Linked DNA regions of Neodiprion lecontei. The protein of the gene in region 1 interacts with the protein of each later gene in a pairwise test. Links are inferred from orthologs where the notes say so. Each region holds a gene or a part of one and is shown on either strand. Other genes may lie near its edges.

Region 1 (5,921 bases):
TGTGCTGTAAAATCCATGTAAAATCTGTATACCTGTGTACCTAGTTGCTTATTTGTGTTATCGCATGCGTGTATACATATGTAAGGAGTACGAACCACGTCCGTTCAACCGTCCCAGTCACGTAGTAATATACACATATTCGCACAATACTAAATCTGTGTGTGCGTGCACGGTAATCGCATGACGTCATCCTATGACACATACCGGAATCAACGAACTTTGCTTGATTTATGATGATTATTGTAAACAGACCGATGAGGAGAATGAAGAATCAGGGTCCAGGGGTAGGTCATGGTGTATGTACTTCGCAAAATTACAGCAAATGGTCATTCGTTTTTTCGTATTCTCGGCGTGGATAAATTTCAAATTTATTCGATACCATGCTATTTGTCTCACTTCTGTGTTATTCTTTCAAAATTCAACGTAAAGTTTCGTTATTGACTCTCCTGTACCAGCCACCAGATCACAATAATAAATACGGTATATCTAAATTCAGAGTGCATTGTCAAACGAGAGGGAAAGTTATTCGGAACAAGAATTGTTTGCTATATCGATTAATTGATTTCACAATTTGAATTGTTAATTCATTTATAATCGTCTATACTTTATTTAACACCTTATAAATTAGTATAATATTGTGATTTTTCCCATTTGCTTTTACACTATGCATCTACCTAAGTGTAAGTATATATGTATGCATGTGTACAGATAATTTAAGGGGCGATTTTTTAGCATGATTCTTCCCCTGATTTTTTTCTCAGTTTTTACAGCATTCACTTCATAATTATACTCAACAATTCGTATAATATTGAGGCATATATTACTTAACTTTTGCTAAAGGTTTACAATCGATCATTGATCAATCCGAAAATGCAGCAAATCATCGTCGTTTATTCGTGTGCTATACTTATACGTATAGTGTTTAAACATGATACGTATTAAAAACGTATATTTTCGTGAAACCATTTTGCAATATATATGTACAAAAATAGAAAACGGAAGCCTAAGCGAAACATCGAATAGAACGAACAGAGGAAAAAAATAGTTACAATGTGGTGCGCTATCGCATAAGTTATTGGAATACCAATGAAATAGCCTTCCTAATCTCTAATATTATACAATGTCCAATACCTCTTTACTCTCTAAAAATTCGCCTAAATTAGGTTGCTTTCAGTTTCCGGAATCGATAAACAGCCCGTTCTACGGAATAACCAGACTTTCTTAGGTCTATGCTGTCTTGTGTAAAATTTAAGATGGCAAAATCGATGAAAAATCCTCTCGTCACCATTTCTATCGTCATATTCTAGCGTATTTGGAAATTGCGTTTGAAAATAAGATCCAACTTTTGCAAAGTTTGAAACGCAGGATGAATTTTTGTTTCAACTCAATCATGATTTCCTTTATAAAATAAAACTGCATTTCAAAATGACTGCCGAAATTTACGAAATAATAATGTATTTCATTGTGGTACTTTAAAAAGTTGGACCGGAATTGATCAAACACATGTAAATTTTACGGCCTGCATAATAGAGTCTATTTTATTAAAGAAACATGTATACGAGGGACGTCGGTTTTTAAGAATCGCGACCACCTTAATGCTTTTTAAAGAGCATATTTCAGGCTTGTTTTCATTGAATTTTGAAAACAGGTTGTATTCGTTGCTGTAGTTCATGTAATTCTTCAACAAGTCATTTAGAAGGAAAAACGTGTAGATCAGACGTGTGTTTATCAAATCGTTAAAGATTTAGACGATGGTCAGTGACGGTGACGAGATTTCGGGAATTTTATAATTCTAACAATGAGAGGGAAAATTTTAAAGAATACCGAGGTACTCTACATATTTCTGCACAGTTGATAATGAAAATAACGACTCAAAGAATGATTTTTTCTTTAAACGGGGCAGTCTTATTCGGGATTTTCAATTTTCTTGCGGAGGTTCTGGATCGTTCGGATTTCCTCCCATTTGACGTCTCAGAGAATCTATCAGATCAGGATTTGCACTCTGCATTTGCTGTGCCAGCTGTTGACCCCTAGAAAAATACACCAATTTTTGCCATTAGAACATTCCGAGCATAGCATGATTACATGTAAACTCTATGAATATGAGATTACATAAAAAAATGAGATTGTAAATATTTGTTTACAATATGAATTTTTAAATACCCGATGCGTCAAGTTTTCATTTCACATTCGTGATAATAATAGATTGATTTCTTACGCCTCGATCAGAGCTTCCATTCGGCCTCCTTGTTCTACATTTCCGCTCATTAAATCACTCATCATGTTTTGCATTCCAGGGTCAGAGAGCATTAAACGAGCCATATTTCGAAGCGCAGGGTTACTGAGTAAGGAGCTCAAATCCATATTGGGTGCAGCTCCTCCTGCTCCTCCAGCCGAATTATTTCCAAGAACCATGTAGCCTACGCCCTGCTGGGCAAGTTTCTCTTCGGACAATTGTAAGTTCATTTTGTAACTCTCGTTACCCGGTTCCATTTCCAATGCCTTTTGATAACTCTGTTTGGCCTCTTTGTGCTTGTCTAAACTTGAATAAGCTAGCCCTAAACGTCCATAAGCCTTGCTGTAAGAAGGATCTATCGCAAGTGCTGTATGACAGTCCTTTATCGCTTGAGCATGATTTCCTATTTTACTATGCACCGCCGCTCGGTTGCAGTAATACACCGCGTTGCGGCTGTCCAATTGAATGGCTCTGAAACAATAGAGATCAAAGTATTTTATTGCAATATTTTCATCGCAAACAAAATCACTTGTTATTATTATTATTTCTTGACAGCCTCTCGACCTTTCAATGATTTAAGATTTTACAGAAAAATTCTGATCAGTACCAATAACAAGAGCAAGAATCAAGTATTCAGAATCATGTTAGAAATATTCTTCGTTCTCTTAAAATCGGCCGCTTAAATCACAAAACGAATTAAAGTTTCATCGGCAAGGAATATTGCGAGTCTTTGATACATTTTAAATGATTTCGTTAATGTTTCACCTACTTTGTGTAATTAGCTAAAGCTTCATGGTGTTTCTCAGCTTTCATAAGGTTGTTTCCCTCATTTTTGAGTCTTTCAGCTTCAGCTTTGGCCTCGGGCGTAGCCGGAGGTCCAAAATCAGGTTTGGCATTGTCGACAGCATTTTGGTATAATTCTAACAAATTAATGTTGGGCAAAGCATCGGAAGCTTGAACGTTGTAGGCACTTTCCAAACATTGAATTGCAACCTCCAAGCTCTCCCTTGAATTATCCGACAGATCGCCATCCTCCAATTGCTGCGTTAATAACTGCACAACCGATGCAATTAATCCTTTTACTGCCATCTTGAGTTTGAGTTAATAATTACTGGAAAAGAAACAAAGTCTTTGAGTTATCAAGACCGCCGATTCACATTTTTAACAAGAAAGAAAGATAGAAATAAGGAACAAATAAAAGAATAGCAGAACCATCTTTAAAGTTATTCAATCGAATATGGATTCATTTCTTTCTTGTGCGTTAGAAATTCGCAGAGAACCATTTTTTGTGGAATGAGGTGGCGAAAAAAAAAATTTGAAATCATTACGGACGGTGATTATCTGCTCATTCATCCTCAGTGGGAAATTAACCGCCAAGTTTTACCCGCTTTTCGCACATCTTACGCGTCCGACTTCACGTCTTACGGAATTATTGTTTTTAAATATCGATGTATGCATCAACTTGTGGTGAGGACTTGCTTTTAGACTTGTTATCCGTATTGCGTCGAGAGTAAATAGGCGCGTTGATAAATACCGACATAATTGATGGTAAAGTGTGATAAACGAACCTGCCTTTAAAGAATTGATAGTGAACGTGTTAAAACGAGTGGTACCAGCGCAAAAGCGGCGACAGCAAACGATTGATTAGGATAAAAATTTCTACGTGTCTACTCGGCTGGTAGGCCGGATCACCTTTTTTGTACGTACAACTTATACCTATAACCAAAAAGATTGAACTGCTGCGGCCGGCTAACGCTTTGAGCATAGAGTAAATACGTAAGTGAGACTGCCGATTTCGGGATGTTACTATTCTCCACCGCCAGAGGCGCTATCGTAATTTCCACTCCATTCTCCGGCGCCAAAACCAAAGTGTCATTTGTTAAAACGGCACCAACGACGCCACGACTCACGCAAGAAGTCGGAGCTTCTTAATTCGCTAAAGCAGTTTTATCATTTCACGATATCCGTGGAAAAAATGGTGGATATTTCGTCAAATAACAAAGTTAAAATGATTTAGAAATTGGATTGAACGCGACATTGAACATTTGTTTTAGGCAACAATGCAGAATTTATATTTCAGTAATAACGATATAATGTATAATAACACTTAACAAGGCATATAACATGGTGTATAATATAATAGTATATACGTATAACAATAGATTAAGTATGATGATCATGTAAGAATAAATTAGTATAAATTAATTTCAACAACGTTATTGGTAAGATTTACAATCTTTTTTTTTTTTGTTTTTCAACATTTTTTTTCTTTTTTCCTAATTTCAAAAATATTGAAATATTAAACATGCACAAGTGATTGAAGAAAATTCGAAATTTAATTTTATAAATTATTGACTGGCCCTTGTTGCACGATTTTGTAGACCGTGCTATTTGTCGTGGCACCGACAAAAATATATCGACGTTGAGAATAGTTGAACTGTGTCATTGTTTGAACACCGTCGAACCATTGTTGTATGCGCAATTGAAATCCCTGTACATAACAACGCAAAACTCGCAATTGAATAACTGATGTTGTATCTGCAAACTACTAAATTACGAGTATGTATGAAAAAATTTCTCTGATTTATTCTTACCCCGTAGTACATGTATTCGTAGACAAAAAATCGTCCTTCTTCAGTGGTAACGATTACGAAGGCATCACTAGTCCCAGAAGCTAAGGTACGAATAAATGGCAGTGTTTAATAAAGAAATCGAAGGCATGCGTAGAAAGTTTTCAAAAATTTGGCAAAACAAGTATGTGTGATCTGAGAATTTTTTACCTCCAGAATAAAATACTTCGATAGTTTTCACCAGCGATTGATGAAATAGACTTTGATAAAAATAGTAGTTATCAAATATTCTATTGTAATAAAAAATGTGTACAGAATTGGCCAGAGGATCATCGAGTAATACGAAATATTCGTTTTCCAGTATCAAACTCTTGACATTCTGGCTTCCTCCGGTCCGAAAGCTCCTCAACAGTTCAAACTGAAATGAAGTAAACCTCTTCGTCGTATGCGTATAGTTTGATTTTATAAACAGTTAGAAAAAAAGCATTGCTCACCTTAGATTTGCGTATTTTAAAACGATGGATCTGAGATTCGGCTGGGCGTTGTGCACAGGCTATAAGAAGATGTATTCCGTGCCTCTTGGTGGCAAAAATATCCAAAGCGATTGCACCACTCGTTCGAATTTTTTGCACCAAAGTAATTTCACCACTAGACAAGTTTATCTCGTAAACCAATGAATTTACTTCGTGGGATTTGACGAATGCGTCGTAGTAAATGGCAAGGACGACGTAGAATTTTTCTGCGAAATTACAGCAGAATTAAGAACGAATCCGAGAGTTTTCTGTGAAACTTGTTGCTCAACACCAGCATGTAGGCAACTGAAGTTACATTTTCTATCACGTTACGTGTTCGAAGTGTATCAAGGGTTGCCTATTTACTGGCACTGAGTGGTGAGTTTCACAGAAAACTCCCGCTGCAATTCAAACTTACTACAATCAGACGCGAACAGTACATTAAAGAAATTTTACCCCCGATCATAAAGGTCTTGGCATCGCTGAGATAACCGCCAATTTCCAAGCGTTCTGCCTCGACGTGTCCCTTGATCTGACCGGTTGGCATCTTCTCGGAAGTCATCCACGAAACCGTAGTGATTTCGGCGGCGTGATTTTCGTGTG
Region 2 (3,659 bases), on another chromosome or scaffold:
CAACAGATCAGAACCATTCCGTTACGTTACATTGCATCTCCGGAAATAAAATCAGAATTTGGTGCAATGTTCGACAGCCTGAACTGGACACATCTAGAAAGTAAAATTGATGAATATGGCAGGAGCGAAGTCCTTGCAATCCCAGGTGGAGGTTTTGCCAAAAACCTATATGATATCTTTGTCGAGAACCATATTCCTTGTGCGGTCTTACTCAGATTTTGTTCAGAAGGAGACAACATCCCAGATGCAATGGAGTTAGCTAACTACTTAAATCAGTGGCTAGAACTTTTCTCAAAGGACGCCTCTGGTAATTTATTAATCAGAAAACCTTCGTCTTGGAGATTCTTATTTGGCAATGATCCTCCACTCGAAATGTTCTGAATATGATATTAATTATCATGAGTTTTTTTTTTTTGTTTATATCAATGAATCATGTTCATTAAATTCTTAATAAAAAATTATTATCAGCTAAATTGTAATTGTATTTCCTGTTTATTCGCCTATGTAAAAGTGAACAACGTAGAAGCTAGGGATTAGAATTGATAAAGTAATGAATTTTATTCAGTCACAGTTTTGGTTCTCCAGGAGAATCATTGATTGATCGTTCGATATTGGATACATTGATATTTTACAAAACTATTTGAATCCAATTAACGGTTTAGTATAAATAGTGAAGCCGGAGGCAGTTAAAAATATCATTCATGACTTAAATTGTAATTACTTAGTTTACGATAACAGCTTCCATTTGGCAGAGAATGCTGTGTATGTAACAAATGCAGCTAAGAATGCAGCTAAGAGTTCAGAGTTTATCCATGGTCCAAGGTAAGCACCTGGGTTGTTGAGGACAACAACAGCTAGAGGTTTCACACTGCTCGGATCTTCTCCGTTTCTAATTGCTTTGCGAAGGGCACTGTACCCTTCTTCATCGTACAGATTAACATTGTAATCTCCTGATCTAGCTTTCTTTATATCCTCCGTCCAGCTGACCTATAGTACCAAACAAACAGAATGGTGATAAATAACTTTTGCCAAGATATTTGATAGAGCTATAAAAAAAGTTGATATTTTTACAAAAAATTGTCAGCAATCGGAAGAGATAGTTCATATCCAACTCGTACAACAATTCGCTTCACCTCATGTACAAGTTTATACCATATTACTAACAAGGAACATCAGTTTAGTGTCCCCTTCTGATTTTGTTGAGACTCATGTATGTTGTAGAACATTAAAAACTAAGAGACACATATTTTTTTTTTTATCTGCGGAAAAGCGGTTCAAAGTGGTGAAACCAAGCCCCAAAGATGGGCAAGCAATGGGGTGATTTCATGATGCGCTTGATGGATTCGAATGAAACCAACGCTGAAATGTTTCTATTCGATTATAAAATATTTCAGCGTTGGTTTCATTCGAATCCATCAAGCGCATCAAGAAATCACCCCGTTGGGTGTCCATCTCTGGTAGTCGTTTTCACCCCTCTAAACAGTTTTTCCGCAGATAAAAAAAAATACTAGTCGCTTAGTTTTCAAGGTTCCACAATATACATGAGTCTCAACGAAATCGGAGGGGGACACCAAACTGATGTTCCTTGTAAGTGGCAAGCTGACTTGGCAGACAATCATCGATTGTCAATTGACGGAAATGAGATGATACTAAGATTACATACCTGATATTTGTTGTCCGCACTGAGTCTGACTGCGGGCAAAGTCTTTCCTTCGACCTCGGCATATAGAGAAACACCTTTGGCGCCGTTGCTACACTTTAGCGTGAATTGTGTGGTGAAAGCGATGTTAGTCAAGACTGTAGCATCTTCGGTAACGTATGCTGAGGCTGAAACTTCTGGTTTTTGACAAGTTTCGGCCAACGCCAAGGAGGTGGTGACGGCGATAATGCACAAAACAATGAGCCTGTTCATTTTTTTTATTAGTCTCTTAATACAATATGTGACAAATCTTATGCTCCACTTTGCACCCGATCGCAACAACCGGCTCTGAACACTGAACGCACACCTCTGTCAACGAATTAAACGTTGCTGAATCTCTGACGAGTGCCACCTAGCAGTTCACCGCAGCCACGTCACATGGCAACTTGTCAGCCCATGAATTGCTGGCAGCTAATTCCATGTGCAAGAAAAACTCAAATCAACATTTTGACATAGTTAGTATGTTTCACTAGGATTAGATGGCGCCACTTTACGGCGCTCCCGCGAAGCAGCGTCATTACGAGTCAGTAATTCTGTTCAATTGTCAGTCTTGGTCTGTAAGTCAACACTGCCAGTAACGCTCAATTTTATATTATCGGTATCAGTCGGTTAACTATGATCGTACTGCATAAATATAATGCAACAGAATTGTTCTGACCCGAGAATCCCATAAGGACTGACTATTTTTTTTTTTAGATTTGAACAACTCAACCGATGAGAAAGTTTCCAAAATAAGGAGAAATTTCACATTAATGTGCTTATCGTGCCAGTACTACAGATTCCCCTGCAGATTATGTATTATTCCGCTACAATCTGAAGCTGGTGGTGCTAGGGTTACTATTCAATTGTTTTGGTAAACAAATACCCATGCGGCTGCAGGCCTTCTGTCGGATGTTTTCCGCTTTTAAATTAATGCGATCCTAGATGTTCGAAACTTTGAATCGTCTAATTCATGTAGAACGCTTGATTATTATGAAGTGGGTCCATTCATTAATTGTGTTTGAGTTCAAATTTTTTTTTACAACGCGGATACAGTACGAGGTCGATATCGTATATAAACAGCGATCGGAAGTTGGTTGCATATGGTTCTGGGCTGTTAGTGCTGTTTTGAATACAACGCCGGGCTGAATTCGGTTGTTTCCCAACAGCAACCCTAATATCGAGTACATGCCGATCAAACTAGATCTTCAAGATGGGGAGATAATTGTGAGTGTGATTATTCGTTGATAAAATGTAAAAGTCGGCTAAATAACCGTTGATTACGAAAGAAATTTATAATGAAAAATAGCTAACACGTACTCGTCATCATTCTTTTGTCAGTGGATTACAGCAGGATCGGTGATTTCCTGGTATTCGAACAATCGACAAACAATCGCGCCGCCATTTTACAATCAGTAAATTGCTAAATGTTCTCGTGCTACCTGTACCGTTGAAATTTGTCTGCGTTGAACTGAAAAAAATGTGCAAAGTACGCGCGGATGTTATGGTTTATATTGATAGTATTGTTTTTTGTGTGGTGAGTTTTGTGCGACGTTATAATCCATCAACTGACACCGCAGAGCCGTTTGAGAGAAAAGAATCTGCGGTTTTAATTTTCATTCGCCGTGATCCTGAATATAGGTAAGGTTTGAAATTATTAATGTAACCCCCGCCATGCCGTTTTATTTTGTCCATTATGCTATTTTTCAATTGCAATTTGCGCAAGAGAGCGCTAGTTGCCACTAATGGAAAATCGGTGCCCAAGTTGACTATGTTGGCACTGCAGAATGCATGCATACCGACCTGTTTTTTTCGTGGATGCCTTGCGCATAATTTGAGGTTATGTGTCTGACACGAGTGACACGATAGTTCGACTACGTAAATTGACATAAATAGCGTTTCGCAGTAGCGAAGTAATTATTCACAATAAAATCAGATAAACTCATAGAAATGATGCCAATCGGAAATCTGCTGAGGTCAG
Region 3 (5,436 bases), on another chromosome or scaffold:
CATGTCAAAAAGGTATTTAGAACGAATATTATTGGAATACTTCTTTGATTATGGCAAACCGTAGTAATGGTATGTTCATTATAATAATATTCCAAAGCAATATGAATAATTCCCATATAATGTAGGTACTACACGAATCAGTACTCATGTATTTGATTTCATCTAAATTTTCAGACCTCAAGAAATTATTGTTTTCATAGTGGGCGGTGCGACTTATGAAGAAAGTCTCGCTGTGAATAATTGGAATAAACAAAATCCAGGAACAAAAATAATTTTAGGTGGTACGACAATTCACAATTTCCAAACGTTCACAGAGGAAATTCAAAGCGCTACTAATAGTATAACAAGAAGATATCGAAGTAGGAATAACTAACTAATAAAGCTTCAACAATACTGTAACTAAATATTTATTTGCATTACTTTTCACTGCTGTTACACTTATGTTGCATAAAACGTGTCTCAAGCTTCAAGTACACAATAGTTAACACTGGATAATGTCTGTATCTGTTCCGAATTTGCATTAGTCAGTGATATGTAAGCCATTCTTTTTTATTTTCTTTCATAATCATTGGTCCGTTTATAATACGTTGTACCGTGATAGTAACTGTTTTTTTTATGAAAATTTATCTGAGTAACTTCACCGTATAACTGCAAATATTGATTATAAGTCTAAACTAAATCACTCGAATAATCTCAGTTGAAAGAAACAGCTAGTGATTTAAAAAGTTGTGATTTACAGTATTGAACGACTACGTACTAGTTTGCGGGTAAACATTATTCGAAAATAACGGCCATTTATTAACATCTTACAATTTTTATTGTTTTCACTTCTGGAGATTAAAATTCAATTTGATATCGAAATACTACTCATCTCTAGTGTGATCTTCAAGCATGTAGTCCGGTGGCCCTTCCAACATCCGGTCATCATTTCTTGTTACCTTCAACAGATACATAATGTTTTTCGCAAGTGATTATTTCGCATAATATTGGAGTAAGTGTGGTGTTAATTTGAAAAGACTTGTATGAAAATGCTCAGTTCGTTAATAGGGCATGTCTAAATTACATACCAAAACACCAGGTTTCTTTGTTTGATACGAATCTGTCAAGTGACCATAACATTTTCATATTTGGATGAGAATTTTTCGTTGTACCTACCGATTTCACCCATAATTTCATTCTATTCGGAATCTGTAAGGGACCTCCGGGGTTTTAACATTATGACATTGATTATGAATTGACCTATATCAATTTAGATCTATGCTCACAAATCCTTTTTTCGAGCCCTACTGATCCTTAACGATTTGTTGTTCCAGAAATTCTGTTGTGATGTGTGGGAGATAATTTTGATACGGAATCAGTCAATAGCTTTTACAATTTTGTAACATACTTAAACACAGATTAGATCTTCCTTTTCAGACACATCCATGCAATTAGCTAAGACGAACAATTCTTGTTGTAAGTTTTTAATTGGAATTCACACAAGTTATAATGATGAAATTAGGATTGGTTAACTATGTGAGATAAAGGATTTGTGACAATGTTAAAAAAACCATTATCTTAGCAATTATGAACTGAAGATCAGTGAGATCGAGATCTCATAGTATTAAGAATGGGTGTAACAGACTAGTCTAAAGCCTCATTTAATAATATCATTCACGTAATTTTGTGTTTGTATAAATCTTGGACTAGTATCTATTAATAATTTATGTGTATATCTTGGAGCTGTATTTAAGAGTGCTTTAATGCAACTTATCCTTACTTACATACCTCAACAATGCCGGTGGATAAAGCATAACCGACCATGGCTACAGTAGCAAAAACGCCAGCAAGGAATTGGTTTCTCTTCTTGTGGGGAAATTCGTTCTCTGAATCTCTTCGCATTTTTCTAACACTTTCTTCAGCTTTTTTCCTCTCATATTCTTGACATATGTCCGGAAAGTATTTCTGAGATATACGAGTTACAAACTTGACTAAATTTGTGCAGGCTTTGAGGTGATTTTGCAATGCAGGATTTGGCAGTGGAGCTTTTAACAAAGGTGCAAGATATGAATAGATTATTGCATCCAGAGACGTAGGGTGAGGGCCAAAGAAATACTCTCTTTCTCCCAGCCGAGTCGATAACAGTGTCAAGCACTTCTGTGCTTCAGAATACACCTGCAATTTTAGTTGATAATTACTGAAGATGTGCAAATAAATAAATACTAGCATTTGTAAAATATTTCTATTTACCGCATTTTCTATGGCACTGATTTCGCCTTCAGTTGGGTACAGCGATTCCATCATGTTCCTAGCTTGTCTTTCAAATTTACCAGGGTAAAAGAAATTCAAAGGAAAAGGTAGTGCTTTGGCGTACCATGGCTGTATGAATTCATTGTAATTCTTTACATCAACCCACCTGTAACATTTGAAACCTAAAATTAACGTTTAGGGCATTGATAATCATATGCACGCAAGCGTGTTTCTGAAGCCTATGAATTAACATTTCCCACTTACTCATTCAGATCTACGAGATGATTTGACATGATTGTTGTCTGCACAGTTAGTAGGTAATGATTATTATTTTATACTAACCAAACATATTGCAGTGCCGGGTAAATTTTCTCCTTAAGCATAGTATCATATGCGACGACCTCAGCGCATTGTTTAGGAGTAAGACTAAAATCAGCTGTGTAATTCTTTTTTCGAAAAAATGCAGTTATATCTTTCACTGAGTCTAAAGTCTCGCTACCACATCGGAGAACAGGTAGTGCACCGTTTGGTGTCCGAAATGGATTATTAGTAGGATTTATCTTGAGCGGTACTCCACTAAATTTGGCATAGACCTACAAAATAATTATTGGACATGTGAGGAAAAAATACCTGTGAGAATTTTGACGTAAAGTTTCAATACAAAGATGATTATCAATCTACTTAAGTCTTTGAAGAAAAAAAAAAGTTTGCCTGAGAACCAGTTAATTACACAAGTATATAACCAGTAAGAGGAATAAAAATTTCTATCAATAGATGACAATACAAGGTACAAAGTGGAAACATCTAGATCAAGTTGAATTTAAACACCTGAAGTTCTCGCTGTTGTGAAAACATTGATGGTAGGGTACGATATTTTAACTGTGTATAAGATATTCTGGTTGATTATTCAGCAGGTCAATTTGAAGATGGGATTAATAATCAAATCTTGAAAACTGCGATGTGATAAGAAGCTTTTCTGTTAAAATAATGATGCGGAATAATGCAAGTTTGATGATCATAACCTTACTAAGACTGAAGAACATACCAAAATATTTAAGCACTTAAGATCGACAGAAGGAAGGCCCCAATCCCCTTTCCAGACGTCTAGTTGAAACGACTCATTCATTTCGAATTTCGAAAAATCACAAAAAATTGACAATTAAATAAATATATTACCAGTGCGTGATAAATGTTTTCCAATCGCACGTGATTGTCCTATGTAAACATGACAAGCGCCAACAACGACGAACAGTGAAAAAAAAGAAATTTCACAATTTTTTCGCGATTGACTGTTCGAAATCCCATCCTGGTAGGTAAACTAGTTGATAATATAATGTTAATTTGGTTCATGTTCAGATACGCCTGCACATCAGGAAATCAGGAAACTGAAGCTAGTCTCGCGCAGAGTATATGTATACCGCATTGTAATCATATTTGTATGGTATACTAAAAGCTGAAACGGAACTATGAAATTTATTTAATCCACAATTACAATCTGCAAATCAAGTACACAGGTCTTTCTTGTGTAGCTTTCTTGAAACACTTGCTTTCCTATGGAACTTTAATATGAGAATTTTTTTTTTAGTGCTTTGCTGCTGAGTGAATAATAATATATCGTTTCATTTAGAAACTATGTACTAGTATTATTTGAAATCAAGTTTGGTAACAAAGATGCGACTGTATAATTTTTTACCTACATGATGGAAATACATAACTTCAGTTATTGAACCACTAGAATTCAAAAAACGAATGCCCTTGTGATTGCTTTTTGTTTGAACTAACACCGTCAATTATCAGAGATTGTTTTAATTTTAGGATGAAATGAAACGGCTCGTGTTCTTCTTGATAATTACTTTCTAGGTTTATTATTATATTTATCATGTATATACATGCTTATAGTTGCCAATAGCTATTATATAGACACGCCTTATAGATAATGATTTGAAAACATAATTGATTCATTCGGAGGTATTTTTCAGAGGCACAATCGATTATACTTAGAGTACATATCTCTGCATATTTAAAAAAATTTCTATCCATTTTTGATACTGGTTTATTTTCTCATCATCATTATGATTTCGTATTATTTTTTGTATACGTAATTGAAATTATGCAGTCAAGTATGCAACTTAAAATTGATTGACCTCTGACCAATTATATGACCTATGCTTAAGTTGGTTTCAAAATGTTTTTCACTAATCAAACACATGCTGATATTACATTTATATAGAGTTTGCGCATTACAATAATCTGGTAAAATATGATTTAGGATTTATATACCAGGTATTTCATGAATACTAGTAGCAATTATTGATAACATACACTCATATGGTAAACAGAAAGAAAAAATTAAGAGATAAAAATAAAACTGACCAATCAATAACACCGCATCTTTGAGTCCCTTTAATTTTTTTTTAGCACGAGGTCAATTGGAATACAGTACGTAGTACAAATAAAAAACCAAAGTAGAAATAAAAAATACTAGCAAGAATAAACGTTGATACATCTTTTTTTTATCGTTTGATGTTACAGATAATTCTGGATAAATCTTTTGGTACGAAGCAACATGCTGTCATGTTATTTAGCCAACTGCCTCAAATTATAAATTTATATTAAACGCGATACCAATAATAAAATTTGATACTCAAACACGTGTTGAAGATATTTCAAGATTTCTTTTCATTCAAATTATATGTCTAGTAGAACATGGGAATAAAATGAAATTAATATAGTAGACATTCAAAAAAGGTATTCAAACTCAAAAATAAAATAATAATAGCTTAGATGTGATTGAAGAAAAGGAATATGTTTACTATATTGAGTTGTAGAGAGCAAGAATTGTCTTGATATAGTAATTCATTATGTGTAGTCGTAGTGACACCAAAAGTTTTTCTTCGAGCATTCTTTTTTCTCTTCTGTGTCACCTAAAATGACTATTATTATTTTTAAAACCAAAGTTCAGCTATCTACATGTAATGCGCGTAGTATAATGTAATAATTTTGTTCAAATTAAAAACACATTTATGGTAGGTGTATATGACTAAGAGTTATGTCTAAGTTATAGTATTGTACACTCTTTGTTGCTTATATTATTAATATTATCAAAAAATTAGACTATTTGGTGTGTCAATTGCACGCAACATTATGACTGTGTATGGTAATTATTATTATTATACAAATGTGATCACGATTCAATAATGACTGTGG

The links. The genes of interacting proteins can lie anywhere in the genome.
Region 2: the proteins of small glutamine-rich tetratricopeptide repeat-containing protein alpha (region 1) and translocon-associated protein subunit delta interact in a two-hybrid assay, tested with the Caenorhabditis elegans proteins (2 studies listed by BioGRID). The link is inferred for Neodiprion lecontei from reciprocal best matches to the Caenorhabditis elegans genes sgt-1 and trap-4.
Region 3: the proteins of small glutamine-rich tetratricopeptide repeat-containing protein alpha (region 1) and metaxin-1 interact in a two-hybrid assay, tested with the Caenorhabditis elegans proteins (2 studies listed by BioGRID). The link is inferred for Neodiprion lecontei from reciprocal best matches to the Caenorhabditis elegans genes sgt-1 and mtx-1.

Annotation. Positions count from the first base shown.
Region 1 is NC_060264.1:31,908,657-31,914,577, reverse strand, and holds small glutamine-rich tetratricopeptide repeat-containing protein alpha, read right to left. Parts: upstream 3,995-5,921; 5' UTR 3,944-3,994; exon of another isoform or gene 3,805-3,943; intron 3,348-3,804; 5' UTR 3,326-3,347; coding exon 3,006-3,325; intron 2,708-3,005; coding exon 2,219-2,707; intron 2,031-2,218; coding exon 1,919-2,030; 3' UTR 539-1,918; downstream 1-538. Other genes in the region: uncharacterized protein LOC107217600, read right to left, coding at 4,578-4,727, 4,831-4,910, 5,017-5,224, 5,301-5,545, 5,775-5,921.
Region 2 is NC_060265.1:30,905,558-30,909,216, forward strand, and holds translocon-associated protein subunit delta, read right to left. Parts: upstream 2,092-3,659; 5' UTR 1,913-2,091; coding exon 1,664-1,912; intron 988-1,663; coding exon 727-987; 3' UTR 534-726; downstream 1-533. Other genes in the region: proteasome assembly chaperone 2, read left to right, coding at 1-381.
Region 3 is NC_060265.1:18,722,655-18,728,090, forward strand, and holds metaxin-1, read right to left. Parts: upstream 3,413-5,436; 5' UTR 3,356-3,412; coding exon 3,275-3,355; exon of another isoform or gene 3,085-3,274; coding exon of another isoform or gene 3,058-3,084; exon of another isoform or gene 2,823-3,057; coding exon 2,572-2,822; exon of another isoform or gene 2,396-2,571; coding exon 2,230-2,395; exon of another isoform or gene 2,155-2,229; coding exon 1,768-2,154; exon of another isoform or gene 939-1,767; coding exon 864-938; 3' UTR 534-863; downstream 1-533. Other genes in the region: vacuolar protein sorting-associated protein 45, read left to right, coding at 1-12, 175-373.